2 linked regions of the Styela clava genome follow. The protein of the gene in region 1 purifies or fractionates together with the protein of each later gene. This does not show direct contact. Links are inferred from orthologs where the notes say so. Each region holds a gene or a part of one and is shown on either strand. Other genes may lie near its edges. The genes, in order: ubiquitin thioesterase ZRANB1-like and uncharacterized protein LOC120325917.

Region 1 (11,501 bases):
TTATTAAACAACTCTGATGGTAATGTACCGGTATAACTTTTGTCGCTTAGTACCCGAAGTATGCGAACCAAGATGGCGGACATCGGAATGTAATATGTGTACTAGGTTAGGGTTAGGCCTTAATTTTAGATATAAATACTACGGGAGGCTCTTGGCTAGTCTTCGAACTGATAATAGGACTAGAATAAGGAAAATTGGAAAAAAATTATCGCCTAACCCTAACCTGTTACCCATGTTACGTTCCGATGTCCGCCATCTTGGTTCGCATACTTCGGGAGCACCGTTTTATATTGCTCCTTCCTGCAAGTTACAAAATAAATGATGACGGTAATCTATGTTTTTTATTGAAATTTTTCTTAGTTGGCAACCCTAGTATGAATAAACGGTGCTCCTGATTTTGAGAAATTACTTTTTGTTCCGGTATTTGTATCGATTAATGGTATTCTTTGCAATATTGTACATTGTGATAAATTATTTTTTTGCATATAATGATATCAGTTACACAATATTGTTTCATTTATAAATTTAAAAAAAAATAAAATAAAAAAAAAGACATCTTGGTGCGCATACTTCAGGAGCACCGTTTATTCATACTAGGGTTGCCAACTAAGAAAAATTTCAATAAAAAACATAGATTACCGTCATCATTTATTTTGTAACTTGCAGGAAGGAGCAATATAAAACGGTGCTCCCGAAGTATGCGAACCAAGATGGCGGACATCGGAACGTAACATGGGTAACAGGTTAGGGTTAAGCGATAATTTTTTTCCAATTTTCCTTATTCTAGTCCTATTATCAGTTCGAAGACTAGCCAAGAGCCTCCCGTAGTATTTATATCTAAAATTAAGGCCTAACCCTAACCTAGTACACATATTACATTCTGATGTCCGCCATCTTGGTTCGCATACTTCGGGAGCCCCTGTCTTCGAACTGATAATAGGACTAGAATAAGGAAAATTGGAAAAAAATTATCGCCTAACCCTAACCTGTTACCCATGTTACGTTCCGATGTCCGCCATCTTGGTTCGCATACTTCGGGAGCACCGTTTTATATTGCTCCTTCCTATGGTGAAATAAAAAATTTGATTGTCTTTTCGTATAGCAACAAAACACAGAAACATGGGTTATTATTAAACAACTCTGATGGTAATGTACCGGTATAACTTTTGTCGCTTAGTACCCGAAGTATGCGAACCAAGATGGCGGACATCGGAATGTAATATGTGTACTAGGTTAGGGTTAGGCCTTAATTTTAGATATAAATACTATGGGAGGCTCTTGGCTAGTCTTCGAACTGATAATAGGACTAAAATTGGAAAAAAATTATCGCCTAACCCTAACCTGTTAGTCTGTTACCCATGTTACGTTCCGATGTCCACCATCTTGGTTCGCATACTTCGGGAGCACCGTTTTATATTGCTCCTTCCTGCAAGTTACAAAATAAATGATGACGGTAATCTATGTTTTTTATTGAAATTTTTCTTAGTTGGCAACCCTAGTATGAATAAACGGTGCTCCTGATTTTGAGAAATTACTTTTTGTTCCGGTATTTGTATCGATTAATGGTATTCTTTGCAATATTGTACATTGTGATAAATTATTTTTTTGCATATAATGATATCAGTTATACAATATTGTTTCATTTATAAATTAAAAAAATAAAATAAAATAAAAAAAAAGACATCTTGGTGCGCATACTTCAGGAGCACCGTTTATTCATACTAGGGTTGCCAACTAAGAAAAATTTCAATAAAAAACATAGATTACCGTCATCATTTATTTTGTAACTTGCAGGAAGGAGCAATATAAAACGGTGCTCCCGAAGTATGCGAACCAAGATGGCGGACATCGGAACGTAACATGGGTAACAGGTTAGGGTTAGGCGATAATTTTTTTCCAATTTTCCTTATTCTAGTCCTATTATCAGTTCGAAGACTAGCCAAGAGCCTCCCGTAGTATTTATATCTAAAATTAAGGCCTAACCCTAACCTAGTACACATATTACATTCTGATGTCCGCCATCTTGGTTCGCATACTTCGGGAGCCCCAAAATTTCATCTTTAACCAGTAAAAATCGAAGCAATCCGTCCAGTAATGAAAGAGAAAAGCGTTTTTTTAGATTTTCCACTAGATGTCCAAAAAGTGTCAAAAAACAACAACAAAACCAACATAATATTGAAACGATCGTTATGTCCACTACGTGTCCAATAATCAAAAGCTTGCAAATACATAAACGGAGGCGATTTTTTAAAAACGGAACAATATCAAATAGTACTATAACTATCGGGCAAAACGACGTTGGAAAGAATAAAGACTTATTGATTAATCCACGGTCCACATCCATGTGTCGGTATTTCATTCCAGCATAGAAAAAATGGCAAGTACTCCTAGTGGGCGTAGCATAATGATTTTTGCATATAATATCCCCCCCCCCTCCAGCGTTCACTAATGGCAGCGATCTCTCTCTTGTCTTGTTATCGCTATGACTAGAAAACGAGAGAAATAGCTTGCTAGATTCCGGATTATCGTCTGCGGCCTGCGCGTTTTAGTTTAATAGAGCAACTTAGACTGACGACCATCTGTACCTATACTTTGGAGGGCCTTATTACTGTATACCGTACGTCACTATGACTTTTTTGGATGACGTCAGGTGGGGGTTTGGGAATGACATATGCAAAATTTGTTGAGCCAGGCTAACTGGAGGTACCGGTACCGTACTTGTGGGCGCGTACCGGTACCGGTACCGGTACTTTGGGAGACCCATCTTATCAACTTTCAGACTTTCGTACTACAGTACCGGTACTAGTTCTGTAGTTTAATAAGATACCGGTACCTGTAGCTGTACCGGTATAGCCCGGTACAGCCTGACTGCAGTAGTTAGTTAGTTACCGTACACTGTTCAGCTGTTACAGTACTGACGCATAACTTTGTGAATATACCAGAAATAGACTAGCGCCATGAACCAGTAAACCATGGCAAGAGACAGACAGACGCCGCGGTAGCCAATTTTCAGCAGACTTTGAGCGTTAGTCAGTTACCTTTACTGTTTACCGGTAGTGATTATTTTGACTTGTGGCATCTGCTCACTCTATACCGGTACCAGTACGGTAGGTACTGTCTATACCAGTACATACGGTACACTGTCACCCGCAGAGCTACAGGATCTAGGACTGTAGAGTCGCAGTTCTTACCAATTCCTGAATTCATGGCAGCTCCTGCACGAACGAACCGCGGCGTCTGTCTGTCTCTTGCCATGGTTTACTGGTTCATGGCGCTAGTCTATTTCTGAGACGCAGTTCTTACCACTTCATGGCAGCTCCTGCCACGAACGTACCACGCCGTCTCCTGCCATGGTTTTATGGCGCTATTACCGGTATATTTGCAAATTTATGTACCATATTTTAGTTTATCATGCGAAATTATATCTACTTAAACTCTAACCCTAACCCCAAATCCATCCAAACTGTATCCATAAGAAAAACATTCCAACTCACCAAATATTTATCACAATCAGCAGATTGGGGGCAGCCCTGCTATTACAGCCGACCTGCCGTGGTTACGGCAGTAAAATTGGTGGTATTCGATTTGCTGCCGTAACCACGGCAGCTCGCTATTGGTTTGTGGCAGCTAAAAAGTCAGTCCCCGTGGGTTTGGTCTTAGTGGCCGTGGTTTGGAAATCCCGCCATGGTTTTGCGGCAGCTGTAGACGCCACAAAATACTTGAAACTGCACTTGCTATTTCTGGTATATTCACAAAGTTATGCGTCTGTCTGTCTCTTGCCATGGTTTACTGGTTCATGGCGCTACTCTATTACTGGTATATTCACAAAGTTATGTACCGGTATCAGATTTTAGTTTATCATGCGGAATTATATCTACTTACTGACTTAAAACTTAAATCTAACCCCAAATCCATCAAAACTATCTTTAAAAAAATGTTCCAACTTACCGGTACCGTATTTCTTCGTGTATAATACACACTTCCGGTTCCATATTTTATCTCCCAAATTAGGGGGGCGCATTATACATTGGTATAGAAGTCTTTCAAAAAATCCTGATTGATATTTTACTCGCAATTGCCAAATACACATGTTTCCTTTCCGTCTTCTATTTATTTTATGTGACAAAGTCCGTTATAACCAGATCATGCTTGTTGCAGTAGAATCACACCCACGGAATGGACTACTGGACTATCTTGTCTAACAAAGGACAACACATCTATTTCAATAACCAGTGTATATAAGTGATAGGAACGTCACTTTAAATCGATAATTTAATTGTTGTTGTTCAGTCTGGCGTCCCTCATTTCTGTTTTGCCGTATCGGCAAAACTGAATGTTCCTAAATCATTTTTTCTCACTCGGATTTGCGGCTTGTTTCATTTCTCTCAATTTGACCAATCGGCAAACCTAACGCTCACAAATCTCTTTTCTCAACCATTTTCAAAATGCTCTAAGATAGATAACAGCACGATAATTCAAAGCCGGGTAACAGAACTCCGAGATTGACAGACACTAACGAGTTGACGTCATAAACACTTGAAACATATTATTAAATCACAGTGAAACTTGCTAGGCTGGCTTCTCGAAAATACCAAATGCGGTCGACGCAAGTGACTGAATTCGACCATGCGTATTATGCATGGAACTTGGTATTTTCATACAATCCACATCCTAAAAAAGCCCTGCGTATTATACACGGAGAAATACGGTTTGTCACCATCAGGGCCACCCCTGTCTTTAGGGCCGACCTTTCGTGGTTACGGCAGCAAAATAGCAAAAAAAGCAACAAAAAAGCTAAAACCTGTTTAGTTATAATTTTATGTAATATTGTAATATAATCATTCAATTCAGCATTTCTATTTTTGTTCAGTGGTTAATATTTCACATGCAACTTCCTGACTCCTCTCAGTCTCCAAGGATAATTGAGTCAAATATGATAGATTCCCCTCTTTCCAGTTTTTTCAAACAGTGCAACAAAAACCAGAAATCGGCAAAATTAAAAATGATGATGCAACAGTCAAATAATATTACAGAAATATTGCTCACCAGCATACTGATATATGCAGATAGCCGTGTAACATTATTAATTAAACTGTTCTGTTTTTTTTTTCATTGCTGATTATTAGTGTACTAGTTCAGTCTGATCTTAGCATGTTGTTCATTCACCTTTTTCAGTTTGCAACCCACTTTCAGACTTATTAAAACAAAACTTGAGCTTGCATATCGGATATTATCAGATCAAGACAAGGCTTGATAGGAGACAACCTCACAGGCGACATATCACTGACACTCAACACATTGTGCTTTTGGCTCAAAGTCATTTCCTGCCTCAATGAATCCACATTTAATGTAATCAGAGTCATATTCACTCACTACAACTTTTCGAGCTTTTCTTTTTTTTCTTTTACTTCGTTATCTTTTCTTTTTGTAAAATTATTCATTTTGGGACTTACAACTGTACAAGAATCAAAAAAATTTAGGGTGTTATTAAATAAAGTTTTTTACCCCTGGTTTACCCATTATTCAAAATGAAACTCATTGGACATAAGATTAACAACTACATAAATCGGCGTCTTTGCTACTTCCTGAATTCAACAAATTACAACAAATGCCTTACTTTTTTAAATGATCACTTCTATAGCAGCATAGAAAGTCACAATATACCTGTATTTTTAGTAAGCTCCCTTCACAAGCTTAGGACTGTAGGATAAAATGGACTTAGCAGTTCTGCTATCAAATGTTACATTTCACGAACAGATTCAACATATCATGGATATCTTATTTTTAACAGCGACCAAATCTGGTCCATTTCCTTGTCAGTTAGTGAGAAACCCTGGCTAGAGGTAAGATTGGGCACGAAAAATCCAGCCCCACCCGAAACGGGCCCGTGGGTATTAAACCTGACCGGGGAAAGGTCCATTAAAGCTTCTTCTCTGTTTTATTCAAATTATTTCTTTCATAACAAGTATTCCTTATTTTAGTATCCACAAATAGTTTTAGTATTTATTTTTTATAAATATATATTTATTTAAAAAAGTCAGCGATAGAGAAGCCCAACCCGAACGTAATAATTGTCATTTCAGGCCCGACCTGAACTCGGGCTTCAGATCTTAGCTCTATTCCTGGCGTAAGAATTCATTATAATTCAGTAATTTCAATGCAAATTTTTCAGATATATCCAGTTAATAAGCTTGACTATATCTGGATTTAATTAGGTGGAGATGAGCAAGTCAATAAAATGGACTTGTGGTTTGTGCACGTATGAAAATTATCCTGCGTCCCTGAATTGTGTTATGTGTTGTCAACAATGTCCCACACCTTTAATCGACGAACCTCGGTCATCTACAGACGTCATCACAAACTATCCCACAGAACAAAACTCCGTTATTCAAAGGACAAGTCTTCAAGGACTAGACCCTGCAGTAATAAGCCATGGATGCTCTGTTAACGCAGATAATTATTATGATACATTTACTAGGGAATTTGAATCCAAAGCTCGTATTACTAACGCAGATGAAATGCCATCTTTCTCCTCAAACTATAACGTGCCTGTAGATGGTGCTGGTGCAGCTTCTGCTTCTCTTAGTGACAATCAGGCAGCAAATATTGCGGATAAAAATAATGAAATTAACAAAAAATGGATTTGTACTTCATGCACTTATAACAATTGGGATAGATCAGCTAAGTGTGTCATGTGCCATTATCCCAAATTGGCTGCAAGTGATCGGATTATTGAAAATCCAATTCAACCAATTCACGAAGATGAACATAAATCATTGATTTTAAATCGCCCGAAACAAATTGTCAGAGATGAAATCACACAAGACAAACCTCGATCTGTAAACTCCAAAACCTGTAGCTCACAGCCAGGAGCTTGTGGACGACTTTGTCGAAGCTATTCTTCAAACCATGCTTTTCGTTGCCAGGACTCAATGAGCCCCACTTTAACAAATACAAGGGCATTGCATAGACATAAAAAATCTTTCAGTGAGGAAAATTTAAATAATATAATGAATGCTCAGGATTCTGCTTCTTGTCAAAGGGCAGAAAAGAAAGGGAGGCATTTTTCTAACGAAGGAGTAAGTAATACTTGGAAACATGAAGAAGCAATAGGTCATTTGGAAAAATTTACAAAAACTCGTGAACATGAACATAGATCTTGGAAAAAATCGAACAAAAGATTAAACTTGCTTTTTCTCAAAGCCTGCATAGGTGGGTAATGAACTGATATATATTTATTAGCATATGGAAATTTACAATCATTGATTAGTTTAGATTAACTAATTACATTATTTCAACTACAATTGTGGGATGAACATAATAGTTAATTCTTCAGTCACTTTTATTTCGCACCTTATTTTCATTCATAATTTACTAATCAGATGAAATCTCATTTATGGATTCTGTCAACGATTCTTGGGGTTATCATATACGTTTGAAGATATATAGTTTATTGACTTGGTTGTTGAATTTTAACACTAACAACATGTTTTATAGCCATCTGCTATATTCCTATTTTCTGAATATATTGTATAATTATTTCACGAAAAATGGTAGTCTCATATTGAGAGGGTTGTGTTCTACAAGATTTTGAAAACTACGTTAAACTGTGAATTTGGGAATGAAGGTCTCTTTGAACAATTGTACGAATTATTAGAATTATATAAAGTGGATTAGAGAATCATTATCATTAAATTATCTATTTGTATGAATCCTCATTTCATCATTTTTTTTGTGCTTAGGTATTCTTGAAGACAATATTGAAGCAGTTGATAGGTATCTAGCATATGGTGGAAATATTGCGAGACCTTTAACAGCTGATGAAGTGAGAATTTTGAACAGACCTTCTGCATTTGATGTTGGACATACTATTGTACATCTTGCCGTCAGATTTCAACGCCGCAATATCCTTGCACTTATTTTAACCCCAGAGGTAAGATATTTCTATTTTCTTATTTTAAACTTTCTTTTTTAGTATGGAAAGTAAGCAGATGAGAGAATCTGTAATATTTATAAAACAATACTATGACTACAGTTTCTGTACAAATAACAGAGCAAGGCTAAATGCTATGCTATCAGCCTATCATCTCTCTATTCGTTGATAAAACGCATCCTAAATGATATTCCTTCCCATCATGATGACAAATCTTGTGATGTTTCCAGGAGTTATAATTCAAAGCAAATATTTGTTTAAAAATATTGGAGTGTGTGTGTGTGTGTCATTGGAAGTAGTTAACTATATTTACAGTCGTTGCAGGGCTATTAAATAAGATTACATCAGCTTCTATATTAGATCGTCTATCTATAAAGATTTCGAAATGGCTACTTATTAAAAGAAGATTAAAAATTACATCGAAAAAGCTGCACAGTTTTATAATACAGACTATCAAAACGGGTTTATAGTTTAAAGTATTTCGAATTTATTTGCCAAAAATAATTCTAGCATTTCAAATTATCTAAATATGAGCATCACTATATTTTGTGTGAATTTTCTGTTTATTAACGTTACTGAGTTTCCAGATAAACTTTATTACTGTGGTTCTGTCCTGTTTGCGAGTAGAAAAATGTTGAACATTTTCAAAACTTGAATTTTCTACTGCATTAGATTACATTAAAACATGGACATTGTGTATATGTAGATACAAATTCATTATTGAATAGTTTAAATTTATTAACGAACTTGATTAAAAAATGTGGTTTTTCTAATCGAAAAGTTTATCAGCCTGTTCTCATTATCAAGTATTAAATAAATATATCAAATTAAATAAAACTGAAAAAATATTTCTTGTTATGTAAGATGTATGCTACTTAACTTATGTTCCCATGGTCACATCATACTACTTATCGAATTTCAGTTCCTTTTATCGATTCAAGTAATTACAGGGTTGATTCTGAATGTGACTCAATATTATGTTTGTGGTACATGAATGAATATTGGAACAAATTTTTCCTTATTTGTTCCTCTTGTTATTAAAAGTTTAATATTTAGATATAAAATTAGAAATCGTGAACTAAACTCCCTACATGTGATGTATGCAGTCCTACTTTTTGGAAATCTAGTGTTCTTGATAACTTGTATCAGCTCATTCGACACGTACACTCATTTAGGTTATGACATCTCAATTCATCATTGTCCGATAATTTTTCTCTGTGCCTAAAATCAGGTTTGGTGCTGGAATTGATTTGCCTATAATGACCAGTTGTCAGTATTTTAATGACAACATGTTTCTTATGGTCCAATGTATTTCTAAAATTATAAACTTGAAAATTTTATAAGCCAAATGGTCCTTACTAAATACTAACAAAAAGAACCAAAATAGTTTATAATGTTATAATCTGGATAATTTATATGTCATAATTTTTATTAGAAATAGTATAGTGATCACTTACGTTGTGTTCCAGCTGTCTGTCTGTTTCTTTCCTTGGGTATACTTAATTGCAGCACTAATTTAACGCAGGACAAAAAAAATTGTTCATATTTGGTATATTGCTTTCATTGACTAAAAGGTAACTTCAACTCGTTCAGTTACTTGATGCTACTGCACACCTTATAATATTACTTTGGGTGTAATATTAAATAATTCAAACATCTATGTTACTTGTGGTTGTGTTGTGGGATTGGTTTACATAAATGTTCGCAGTAGTGTTTTGCGATGCAATTTTATTTTACTTTTTTATGTGTGAATAGTAAGATAAATAAAAAAGCAATCTCTTTAAAATTGAGTTTCACTTCTGTACATGATTTGAATCTAGTTAATTTTCGAATTGCTATGGTTCACATTTCGTTCATTTGAGATAATTAGCTTACCGTATATTATGTGTGAAATGAGAATGGAAATTGATCAAAATTTTTGTATGAATGATATTTCTATTTATTGATTCTGTGAATTGAAAAGACATTGATGGCACAGTGTTCAGTGGAGAGTGATTACCTTATGCTAAACATAATTGTGGTTCTTTGTTCGTTTTGTTTATGTGAAAACTTATTATTCTTGATCTTATAACACTGGATCGAGTGTGGCCTTATGAACAGCTGTTGCTTTGTAAATTTTATTTCTGGACCGTGTATGAATGTTTTATAATAATATAATCACCGCTTAGCGAAGGTTACAATTTTGTTTGAAAACTTTATCCTCTCTTTTTAATGCTCTTTTAACCTTGCCAATATGTCATCGAATAATTAATGAGGTGTCAAGTGTCTCTGCTTTTTAGAAACTCATTTCTCATTCTATCTTTCTCTCTCTTTATTATGAAAGCATTTTATTGATTGTAAAGTCAGTGAAGCAAGGTACTGCTCCATCTATTTCATTAATTTAATGGCTAATTGTGTGCTATAAAAAGGTATTTTTGGTGTACTGACACATACCTGTGAACTGGTACATCATGCATTGTGTGATTGTGATAAACAAAGTCATGACTTCACCACACTGTTATTATATAAACAGATTGTATATAGTACAGATTCACAGATTGTATTTCAGTATTTTTTAAAATATACTATTTTAATAATTTCATTTTGACTCTGTGATTAAGAGGTGTTCATTAGATTGTGTTTTTAAAAACATTTAAAATATTTATTAATTGATAGAGGCAGTACGTCAATGTCCATACTATCTTATAATGAATATTGAACAAATGACCAGGTTACTGAATATAATCATATCATATCAATGGTGAAAATTAACATTCCAAAAATAATCTTGATGTATAGCTGCTTGTATAGGTAACTTCCCCTGGGAAATAGAACAAAGAACAAACAAATAGAACTGATGTAAATAATTTGCAAAAGGATGGGAATATGCTGGATTTGTTAATAAACCATGTAATAATGTCGGTCATAGTACGCACATGCTCGTAGAATTCTTTAATACCGTATTGTTTGAGGTTTACATCTTGCTTCTTTTATGGAAGTGATGGTGTAATAACAATAAATTATATTGAATAGTTACTAGTGTGTTGTGTAAGTAAATGTAAGTTATCCAGTTTAAGCTAAAAAAGTATTCAAACTATATATTGATATCAAATCTGCAGTAGAACTAAATATGCTTGTGTCACATTTTTGAGAAATTCCTATTTTGTAGTAGTAAAAATGAACATAAGCGTCTTCCTAAAATCAAAACTGGCTTTGAAACCCAGACCAAATTATGACCCGTGGTCCATAACCGCAGAAAATTGGGTACTCCTGTAGTGTGTGTACCAGGTTAGTGTTAGGCAATAATTTTATTTAGATTTTCTTTATTTTAGTCTTTTTTATTGCGAGTTGGGGGACTGTCTGTGTTAGCCAAGTGAAAAATACCCCCTGCCCATACGTTTCATTCTCTTTACACAACTTGATGTAAAATAGGCGAACAGAATTATTTACTTCCATATTGGTACACACACTCCTGGAGTGTCGAAAATTGGGAGATTAGCTAATTTGGTTTTACTGCTGCAAAATTAGTTTGATCATCCTGTAAACGTAAATTTACTTTTCACAATGTCTCTAATGTAGTTTTCATTGA
Region 2 (11,501 bases), on another chromosome or scaffold:
GGGCCCCACTTTTAGATAAGAAATCTCAAAAGAGCATATTGTAAAGTCATCTCGAACTAAGTTTCAAAAAATTTGTATGGGGGGAAGATATAATAATATCTTCTCAAACATGGCCGAAACAAGAATTTTACATCGAAATCAATAAATATCGGTATTAAACCCAAAAATTCTGCACTTTTCGATTACGTGCCCCGCTTTTAGATAAGATAACTCAAAAGAGCATATTGTTCGATCCAAGTTTCATAAAAATTGTATGGGGGGAAGATATAATAATATCTTCTCAAACATGGCCCAATCAAGAATTTTACATCGAAATCACTAAATATCGGTATTACACCCAAAAATACTGCACTTTCCGATGACGTGCCCCACTTTTAGATAAGATATCTCAAAAGAGAATATTTTAAAGTCATCTCGAACTAAGTTTCATAAAAATTGTATGGGGGGAAGATATAATAATATCTTTTCAAACATGGCCCAAACAAGAATTTTACATCGAAATCACTAAATATCGGTATTAAACCCAAAAATTCTGCACTTTTCGATTATTGACCCATTTTTAGATAAGATATCTCAAAAGAGCATATTGTAAAGTCATCTCGATCCAAGTTTTATAAAATTTGTATGGGGGGAACATATAATAATATCTTCTCAAACATGGCCCAAACAAGAATTTTACATCGAAATCTCTAAATATCGGTATTAAACCCAAATATTCTGCACTTTTCGATTACGTGCCCCACTTTTAAATAAGATATTTCAAAAGACCATATTGTGTAAGTCATCTCCATGATTCCCCGCGTTCGATTATCTTTTGCTAAGTTCTGTTTGTTAGAGACCGAGGATTTAGCGTAAAATTGTCTATACTTTTCATAGCCTATTGTTTTACCATACCTGCCCAAATCACCTACTAGCAAAGCTCCCCACAGACAAATTTTGGGCACATAAAAGGTTTTAAATTCAGTCATTACTTCCGGGCAATAAAAACAGTTTGAACCACATAAACCAGCGTCAGTAGCAATTTTTGTAGCTCTAGCAATATCCAGATATAGTAGTAATTCGGTAAAAGGATTTCTCTCACTCCAGTCTGCATCTGGTAAAAGTTCATCCGATGCATCCTGATTGAAAACACATTCGGGTGGGGATGGAATATTTTGTTTTTCGATACGCTTTTTCAAGTAAGACCAGCTATTAGCAACAAGATTTGAATTCAGGGCTATTAATATTATTGTCAAATGGTAAACGATTTTACGAAGTTTTTTCATTTCCCTGCAGCAAACAAGCAACCCAAATATATACACGAGTTCCCGTTTGACTTTTGGAGCCCTACAAGCTAATTGCTTAAAATTTTTCATGGTATGGCTGGTGCATAGGTGAAGAAAGGGTCGGGAAAGCATAGCCAAATTCGCACTGCCTTGAATGACCGAATAACAGCGCGATATGTAGGCCTCTAGACTTTGGCGCATTATTACTTGAATTATTGATTTGATGAGGGCCATACTACCATCACATATAAAAGCCCTTACGGGAAATCGTTTGGTCAATTTCGAAACATCAGAACGAAATTGTGACAAAAAGTTCGAAATATTTGCAATGTTGTGCCGATTCGTAACAAACGTTGCAACAGCAAATGGGGACTTGCCTTTTTGGGGATGGCGAGTTACTATTCCGTAAATGTAATATGGACTTTGGGCACCGAAAGGAAGTATCCCACCAGTAGCGTCAATATAAATTATGTCATTTTGAGCATTATGGTTAAATATTCTTACAGACTGTTCCGACCACAACATAATACCTGGTGGAACTCGTGAAATTTGCTGCAAGGTTCCACGAATTAACTTATTATTGCATTTTTCGGCCTGAAATTTTCTTAAACAGTCAAGCGAATTCCATTGATTATTGAAATCTGGGACATTTACCATTCTAGCCTCATATCGCGCCTTTTTTAATACAGCCTGTGACGGAGCATCGTCCCTATTACCAATTTTTTACAAATACATATTACGAGGAAGAGAATGAACCAATTTTTCTTTCAATTCCTTCCGCCGTTTTCCCTTAAGTCGGATTGATTTAATACCAACGTGATACCTATTTCCCGAATACCTAACATGGAACATGCGGAGGTCTCTGCGATAGGATACTACAGAAATTTTGCGACAGCAACCTGTGAAGCAACAATGCCCACTGCAAGCAAAAATACGATTTGCCAATATTCCAGAATTTACTGTGTGCCATCGAAATGCATATGAACAGTAAGGGTCACTCTCTTTGATAGCTTTTCTAAAAACATCAGCCCAATTAGAATTTTTTATTTTTCGCCCAGCAACGGAGTTGAAAAGACTGTTCCAATTTTTGGTGTTCATTTTAAATTTTGCATTTTTTATTGGATTTTCACGTTTCCAAATACCATGGGCTTGCACTGAGCTTTGCGCACCTACATCAAAATCAGTTCCATGCGCGTCTAAAAATATGTATGAATTGTTACTAACCTGCTTCAATTTGTTATCACAGCTCTCTTCCAGGGACGTAGGCAGTGTGCTTTCTTTTTTAATTGCTAATTTTAATTTCAGAATGAAAATCAGAAGAATGGTCATCCCTTTTGGTATTTTTAAATTCTCCATCGCCTGATGTGTACGGAAATGAATTTTCATTGATTTTCAGTTTTTTTGAGTTATTGTTCCAAAAATGTCGCAATTTTCGAATATAATTTTTCAATTCACCTTTGGCAATTTTTTTGTTCCAAATTAGTTTTGCTAATTTGCTCCAGTCTGCTCGGGAATTTGGATTAAATGATCCCATATCATTTATTGCAGTTACCAACGACTGAGTTGACAATTTGTTTTTGGAAAACACACCGCCCGGCTGTTTATAAATTAAAGAAGGGTAAGAATTTTTATCAGGCGAAGATGATCTCTGTAACTTCTTCCGTGGAATGGGACAATTACTTTTAACTTTATCAGAGCTACTAAAAGAGGGAGGAGGAGAAAAAAGACCTGCTAGTATGTTTTGGCCGCATAGTAATATCAGAAATAGCCCCAGTAGAAACGACAGAAGTAGTGAAAGATGAGGCCGTAGAGACCTTTCGGCGATGTTGTTTTGACAAAGAAGTAGTGTGAAGAAGACAAAATGAAGAGTCTGAACGTACATCATTTGTACGGGCCACAATTTGACGAGATTGGCCCGCCGTCTTCTTCATTGGTACAATCTTCTGAGCAATTTTCGTCTTCGTTGCCCGTCTACTCTTCACAATCTTAAAATCGCCGGAAACGTCAGACGACGACTTTCCCAGAGTTGGGCTCCTTGAAATGATGGTTTCGGAGCCGCACGGTGCAGAAGAATTGGTCTTCAAATATGATGAAACGGGTTCGATAACCACGTCTGGACAGGCTTTACGAAGTCCACGAGAAAGTACAGCTGCGTAAGATGGTCGGGAATGAGAGGAACGCAAACATGGCGCTGGTTGCAAAGAAACTGAAGTTTTTGGCCGAGCAACCACACTGGCATAGAACACCAAAGATACGGGGGGTGGGTGGGACTGAGTGCTGAAGGATGAAACAGAGTCGAAGATGAAGGGCTTCCAGATGATATTTTTCCTTCGTCGAGAAATCGATCTACTAGAAGTAGGGATTAATTTTGTCCCAGTTCCAACAGAAGAACCTACAGCGGGGAAATCATTCTTCAAAAACAAGGAAAAGTCATACATACATATGCTTTCAGTAGTTATTTGTGTAGATTCGGGATTTTTGTCTAAAAATAATTTTTGTTAGCATATGTTAACATTTGCACGAATCATCATTATAATTTCAATACATTACACTGTGTAAAACTCATTTTGTTACCGGCTTCTAATAATTATTTTTTGATTCATTACGCCACAATAACTGGAAAAAACGAACAATATTTTCATAAATATCTTATCTAAAAGTGGGGCACGTCATTGGAAAGTGCAGTATTTTTGGGTGCAATACCGATATTTAGTGATTTTGATGTAAAATTCTTGTTTGGGCCATGTTTGAGAAGATATTATTATAGGTTCCCCCATACAAATTTTATAAAACTTGGATCGAGATGACTTTACAATATTCTCTTTCGAGATATCTTATCTAAAAGTGGGGCACGTAATCGAAAAGTGCAGAATTTTTGGGTTTAATACCGATATTTATTGATTTCAATGTAAAATTCTTGTTTGGGCCATGTTTGAGAAGATATTATTATATCTTCCCCCCATACAAATTTTATGAAACTTAGTTCGAGATGACTTTACAATATGCTCTTTTGAGATATCTTATCTAAAAGTGGGGCCCGTCATCGGAAAGTGCAGAATTTTTGGGTGTATTACCGATATTTAGTGATTTTGATGTATAATTCTTGTTTGGGCCATGTTTGACAAGAAATCATATCATTTTTCCGACATACAAAGTCTATTAAACTTTGATCGAGATGATGGTATTATGTGTTTTCCTTTTTATCACTTTTATAAATGTGGCCGGCAATTGAAAATTACGAAAGTTTACGTGGAATACGGAAAGCAGTGATTATAATCGGTCATAAATCTGGCAACTGAATTTCACCCAGCATTCATATTTTCCGCAGCTTGTTTTATACGCAATGTTAAATCGTTTTCTGGCAACCCTATTCTACCGTTCCTAAAACGAGAGAGATGTCTGCTAGGGTAACTTTGGTATTCAATGGATATAAATTGGACTATATATGATACAAAACTCCGGTAATGGTATGGTTTTATATTTTAATTGTTACATATATTATTGAACTTGTGGGCAATGTGTTTTGAAATTATGAAATTGTTTAATTGGGTGCAAATTATACTAATTCGACAATAAAATTAATATACGAAAATTCCGTTTGGCAATGGAATTTATTTGGCAAAAAAAAAGAAAAAAAAAAGAAATTTGGCTGTGTGGTTCAAAATATGTTATGTAGCTTCAGTCCAGTTAGTTGCTTGTAGTACGGTAGTAGTTCTACGGTACGGTACGGTAAATGGAAGACAGACAGGGGTCTGGTATAGTTTAGTACCACACGTACTTCAAGTTGACCTGGCTCGACAATTTTTGCATATGTCAATCCTAACCCCCACCTAACTACGTCACTGAAAAATTACGTCATTTCGACGTCACAGTGGCGTATTACTGTATTATGGCCCACCAAAGTATGCGGATGGTCGTCCAAAACGCGCAGACGATCACCCGAAATCGAGCAAGCTATTTCTCTCGATAGCTCGCCACAACGATCACGATAGGAGAGAGATCGCCGGCGTTAGCGAGTTCGTTACCGGCGGCGCATATGCCATTTCGGGCGATGTTAATTATACTTTGGCAAGCCCTATGACGCGATGGTGACGTCGTAGTGACGTATTTTTTGGTAGCATAGTCAGGTAGGGGTTAGGAATAACATATGCAAAATTCATTATGCTACGCCCACTGGAAGTACTTGTGGTACTAAACTATACTAGACCCGACAGACAGTCGAGACAAGTCAAGTTTATTTCATCATGTCATAGAGCTTGCTAAATACTCGTACGATCGCCTGAAATGGCATTGGCGCTGACGATAAAGAACTGACCAACGTCAGCGATCTCTCTCCTGTCCGGATCGTTGCGACGAGAAAACGAGAGAAATGACTGTTCGATTTCGGGTTTTCTGCGCGTCTTGGATGACAGTTTGAAGCATAGTTTGAAGTGCTCTATTACGTCACTGTGACGTCGAAGTGACATAAGCCGAGAAAAACCATTGTTGGATTACATTTACCTCAAATGTTGAGGAACTTATAAAAAACGAGAGAAATGACTGTTCGATTTCGGATTCTCGTCTGCGCGTCTTGGATGACAGTTCGCATAGTTTGAAGTGCTCTATTACGTCACTGTGCCGTCGTAGTGACGTCATTTTAGGATGGTGTGGTCAGGTGGGGGTTAGGATTGACACGTGAAAAAATTGTTATGCTACGCCTACTAGAAGTACGTTAGGTACGAAACTACATGAGACCCGAACCGCAGTACCGTAAATTCCGATGAAATTTTTCATTGCGTACCGGTATATTGAATAAATTGTTTCCTATTTTGCTTTCGTCAATAACCATTTTCTGATTGTATAGTTGTAGTAAGTCGAGATAGGCTATATATGAATCTGCCGTCATATTCAGTTCATTTATACCATGTAATTTATTTTATGATGTTAACTTACTTTTTTTAGCATAAAAATAGACACGTATCTTTCTTACAACTCAAATTAATGTTTTTGTATAACCGCTACAATAAAACCTGAAAACAGTAAAATGTAGTTGGACTCAAAATTGTGATATAGAGTTTCAGTTTTAAATTAAAGTCTTAACTTTTAATTATACAAATTCAACATTCAAATCAATACTGCAATATTAGAAATTAAATATTGAAAAATAAGTAATGAGGATGGCCTAGTCGTGTTTTTAATTTTTTATTAACCTCATGTTTTTCTGGTTATAGGATTATTTACACAGTCAAATGAATCCCCTCCACCATTGAATAAACAAATTTGAATGAAAACCTTTTTTATTTCCATTTCAGTTTTGTTTCTTGCATTAGGCGGAGTCAAAATTGTTATAAATTGATCTAGACTCAAAAAGGGTGGGCCAATGGTGATAAAAGCGTAAGGTGGAGTGTGACAAATTTCACATATAAAGCTTGAAGAGTATCAATGCTGTCGTATGTCTCTAATAATTCGATCATTGCTGAGTACAATATCCTCGTAAGCCGAGAAAAACCATTGTTGGATTACATTTACCTCGAATGTTGAGGAACTTATAAAAAATGAAGGATGTATGAATGAATTCAGTGGATGATCCTAAAATAAGAAAATCATGAATGAAAACCAGAACAATGCGATTTCTGAGTGTGAAAGCAGTGAAACCAGACTGGTGAATAATAATCCGCAGGTATGAAAACTAAACTTTCTAATAATTTTTCTTATTTACCTGGTTACTTCTGTATTTTTATTGCATAGTTTTCCGTGCTAATTTTGGTTGCCATGTGCTTATTTCTTATTTTCTTGTTTTATTGTGGCAAGATAGTACAGTAAAATAGTTGATAGTTTCGTAATCTAAATTTTATGTGAGTCCATATTTGCTAGTTCAATCGTTTTGTTTAATAACTTATTGAATTGTTTTTCCACCTCTCAATTTTAAATTGACTTGGCTTGAGTGGAAAATGTTAAATGACCTAATAAGACGCCAACTTTCAAACATAGAAGCAAAATCTATCAAATTTTTTATGAGCATGTCGAAATAAGTTGAACTACTTTATAAATAATCATATAACCATAGAGCTTGACTAATTGCAGATAAAAAAGAAAGGGATGAATCTGTTGAAAAAGAGCAAGCATGATCTTCTTCGATTACTCAGTATATTAGAAGGAGAATTAGAAGCTAGAGATATCTTTATATCTGCCTTACAGGTATGTAATTCAAGTTAACAAGTTTTTTGTTCACATACCAGTGGAAGTACATAACAATATTTTTATCACTGAATTCAGGCTCAACTCACCAACCAGCGTAATGCGAGACAGCAGTATTTTGTACATCGACTGACTGATCCATTTCTATCATTACACAGAGATGATTATGTTGCTGGAAATTCTACAAATGATGATGAGAATCGGTATTATAATGAACAGGTCATCATTTTTGTTTTGTTTCCTTCAGACTATATTTTACTTTCTGTTTTATTTCTATTTGTAAATGGATTAATTCTGTTGTTTTAGGCCTTTATCGAGCCATTACCACTTCTTGAAAAAGTTGTCTATCAATTCAAATCTCAGCAACAGAAAATGCATCAACAAATGTCTCTTGCAAGCAAGATACATAGAAAAGTAAGTTAAATTTCTGTTTTAAACCATATATGAACGGGACATACTAATGTACTATGTTTAACCTATATCTACGTTACTCAGCAACTGACTGTTTAATATTTGAAGTTTACATTGAGATTGTAAGAAATCCATGATGACCAGTGTTCCCTCTAAAGTGTGCGCGTCTGCTCGCGCACACAGCTTCCAGAGGCCGCGCACACGCATAGATTTACTGCGCACAGACGTATTTCGATGTAATGTAACAATGTGCTTGGTTGGCAGGTTGAGAAAGTTTGTTGTTGGCCCACTTATTACCCGGTTAGAACGCCAAAATTTCTTCATTGGTTTTTGCACAAATATTAGTCTTTTCCGAAAAAGTGTGCACACACCAAAATTTCTGCGCACACATACTACAAAAAATTAGAGGGAACATTGATGATGACCATGCCATGTGCTGATATTATTCATTTTATATAATATTCTTTTTATACAATACATTTATGGTATAATTTTCATTATTCTGTTTCAGAGAAGTACCGGCGTATCGTTACAGGAGTACTAATACCATTTAATGTTCAAAAGACCCACATTTTTTTAAGTTATCTAAATTGCAATCAAATCATTGTATATCACAAATAAAATTTGAAATACATTTTTTTCAAAGCGTCATTAAAATTAATTTTTGGCAAAATGCTGCCGCTACATGTCTCATATCTAAGATGATTGTTATTTCTTCTGATGATTGAGATCAATTTGTTTATTTTATTATCTCATTGTTTGACGTAAATCATATTCAAGGATCAAGTGTGTTATTTTAACTTTGCCACATTAATTCTATTATACAAGCAAATTTTTACTTTCAGATGGCTCATGAATTGGCTGAAGAAAAACGTAAACATGCTGCTGATACAAAGACAGGCGATGACGTAACTATGGCTCTTGAGAAAGAGAGAGAAAGACTCAATGCCAGTGTTTTATGTGAAAAAGAGAGAACAAAACGAATTGAAGGAGAATATAGAAAACTGCTCGGTTTATGCAAAGAAGAGAACACAAAACATAAAATGGTAAAAATCGAATAAATTTTAATATGAGTGACTAATCAATCAGTAAAAGTTTCTTAAAGTAATTTGCCTGTAATACAATTTATCATTGATCACTCTGTTGCGATAATTGAGATGATTTGTTCTGACTTCTTTTCACTTTAATGCTATTATGAAACAGTGTTAAGTTCTCGAACCTCGAAGTCGAGTCATATGCTATCAGAGTGAAGTCAACCACTGAATCTAATCACACTGGCGTTTAGTTGTTGGTGGGTCCGAGTAATTCCATTTAGAAGGCTTGACTCACTTTGAGTCTTTGCTGGATAGTGATTCGAGTTCAATTTGAGTTGAGTCAACCCCAATTTTAATAAAATAACTGCCCCTTTTCAAAATTCTAAAATGGGTTGGGACCTATAATGACAGCTGGTAACATCCTGAATAGATTCAATTTTGGTGTCAAATGAAATTTATATGTTTTATTCATTTTATATATTTATTTATTTTAATTCATATATTATTATGTAATGAATTTTTATTGTGTACTGCATAGTTGAATCCATGTTGTTCACTGATCGTTTGCTATCTTTTACTGTTAAGATTGTTGTATCGTTATTGGCTGAACAAGAAAGGTTGCGACAACAATTAACAGAATCTAAAGAATTACAAATTGATATAGATTCAACAGAAACAGAATTACAAGCAAGATTACATCAGGTAACTGACCTAAAATTAATTAAATAAAGATAAATTGTTCTTTGGTAAAACGTTAAGACATAGTATTTTTTATTTGGATTTTTGAAATCGTTGATTCAGGGATGTCCAAAACAAATTGAATACATTCAAAATTCATTATATTGGATATAGTAAATTTTTGAATTTAGGAATTTAGAACATTTTTATTTAACATTAGGGCTTTTGAGCTGTCAGACAAGTTTATCAAAATGTACCATATCTCAACTTGTAGGAAACAACACATAGAAAACAATGACCTTTTATATCTGTGTCATTTCAGATGTGATCAACATGAACTTGCTCCCAATTTAGAATGTATTGAATATTTCATATACGAAAATATTTTCTAGAATACAGTCGAAATAGTGATATATTTGGTTTTGGCCATCCCTGGTTAGATTTATTAGTACTTGTTATTCAGTAGAAAGTTTGTTTATGACTCCAATGAATAATACCATAGCGGGCGTATATAAAGATGTAATAAATGATGTAAAAAAACCTAAATAAACACTCGCTAAAGTAAAACAAACCTGGTTGAGATATATTGAGAACTGACTCCATTGGACAAAACTGAAATTGTGACAGGACTTATGAACACTCTGTATATTCTAGATTATTATATAGATATAAGATTCTATAATTTGGCTAATGGTGTGAGCTAGGTTAGTTGAATTATTCATCATTTACCAGAATTGACATGCGAATTCCAAATTATGTTTATGTCTGTCCTTCAGATAAGCATTTGGAATTCTGTCATATTATGACTTGAACTATGGCATTTAAACTCAGAATTTTGCAATATCTTTCATATCAGATTGTAACAATATTCAATTTTAATTGTTGTTTATTTATCCATTGTCTGGTAAAATTGTGATTTAGAATGATATCTGATAAAGCCATCAATGACCTCAGTCCTTGATGCATTTTTTGATTCTATCCCATTCAATTTATGCTCTGGTGTAATTATAGCTTTTGGTTAGTTGTATCTTCTTATTTACTTATCAACATGTTTGCTTCTAGTTGTGGAGGAATTGACTTTAGTGTAGGTCGCGAGTTCTCGTTTGAAAATTTATCGTCCCAAGCATTTGACATCTGATGCCCAGACATAAAACAACAACTTAGTTTTACTGTAAAACCTACACTATAAAAACAACAAATCAAAACAATGTTTATTTGAAACTTTCTACATTGCCAAATTTTATATCAGTGAATTCACAATATTTTATAATTCTGTGTTGATTGGGACCCAGTTTAGAATAAATAAAATACGCTATTCCATAGTTGTAGCTATTATTTCAAAATTTATTTGGAATAGTACCGTAAGTTATTGGTTTTGGACATCTCTCTAATCTTAATGTGACTCATGGTTTTATACAAATCTGTCAAATTTATTATTCAAATTGAATTGCCAACTTCATAATAGGCTTTGAAAGAGAAACAAGACCTGGCAATCAAGTTAAAAGAGGAACAAAACCGCTGTAGCAGTTTGAAATTACAAATGCGTATTTTACAAGAAAAATCAACTCAGAGAAACTTAAATCAAACAACGAACTCAGCTAAAACCGCACTTGAACATGCTACGGAATTATACTCCTGCGGTGATTCAGAGGAGAGTATGACACCTGAACTACCTATAAAAATGTGCAAAGCACAATCTTTTACATCATCTTTGGATTCTAACACTGAGAGAGATATGGATACAGTAGCGCACTTTTTTGCTAAGCATCATCCAATGAGTGTGGCACAAAATACACAAGATGTAACTCTCATACCAACCAGCAGTCACCCACCCATTTTACTGGCAGATGGTGTGGAGGGGGTTACGACATCAGGGTACGTTTTTTTTTCAGATTTATAAACTAACAATGGGCATTTTAAGTTTTTACTTACAGCA

The links.
Region 2: the proteins of ubiquitin thioesterase ZRANB1-like (region 1) and uncharacterized protein LOC120325917 purify together in Homo sapiens (affinity purification with mass spectrometry; 4 studies listed by BioGRID and IntAct, with this or other methods). This does not show direct contact. The link is inferred for Styela clava from reciprocal best matches to the Homo sapiens genes ZRANB1 and CTTNBP2NL.

The regions. Positions count from the first base shown.
Region 1 is NC_135258.1:20,295,363-20,306,863, forward strand, and holds the start of ubiquitin thioesterase ZRANB1-like, read left to right. Parts: upstream 1-6,143; 5' UTR 6,144-6,221; coding exon 6,222-7,212; intron 7,213-7,742; coding exon 7,743-7,933; intron 7,934-11,501. UniProt on the Homo sapiens protein: Ubiquitin thioesterase, which specifically hydrolyzes 'Lys-29'-linked and 'Lys-33'-linked diubiquitin. Also cleaves 'Lys-63'-linked chains, but with 40-fold less efficiency compared to 'Lys-29'-linked ones.
Region 2 is NC_135253.1:15,994,287-16,005,787, forward strand, and holds the start of uncharacterized protein LOC120325917, read left to right. Parts: upstream 1-6,531; 5' UTR 6,532-6,849; coding exon 6,850-6,924; intron 6,925-7,328; coding exon 7,329-7,442; intron 7,443-7,520; coding exon 7,521-7,661; intron 7,662-7,748; coding exon 7,749-7,856; intron 7,857-8,698; coding exon 8,699-8,899; intron 8,900-9,472; coding exon 9,473-9,589; intron 9,590-11,030; coding exon 11,031-11,440; intron 11,441-11,501. UniProt on the Homo sapiens protein: Regulates lamellipodial actin dynamics in a CTTN-dependent manner. Associates with core striatin-interacting phosphatase and kinase (STRIPAK) complex to form CTTNBP2NL-STRIPAK complexes.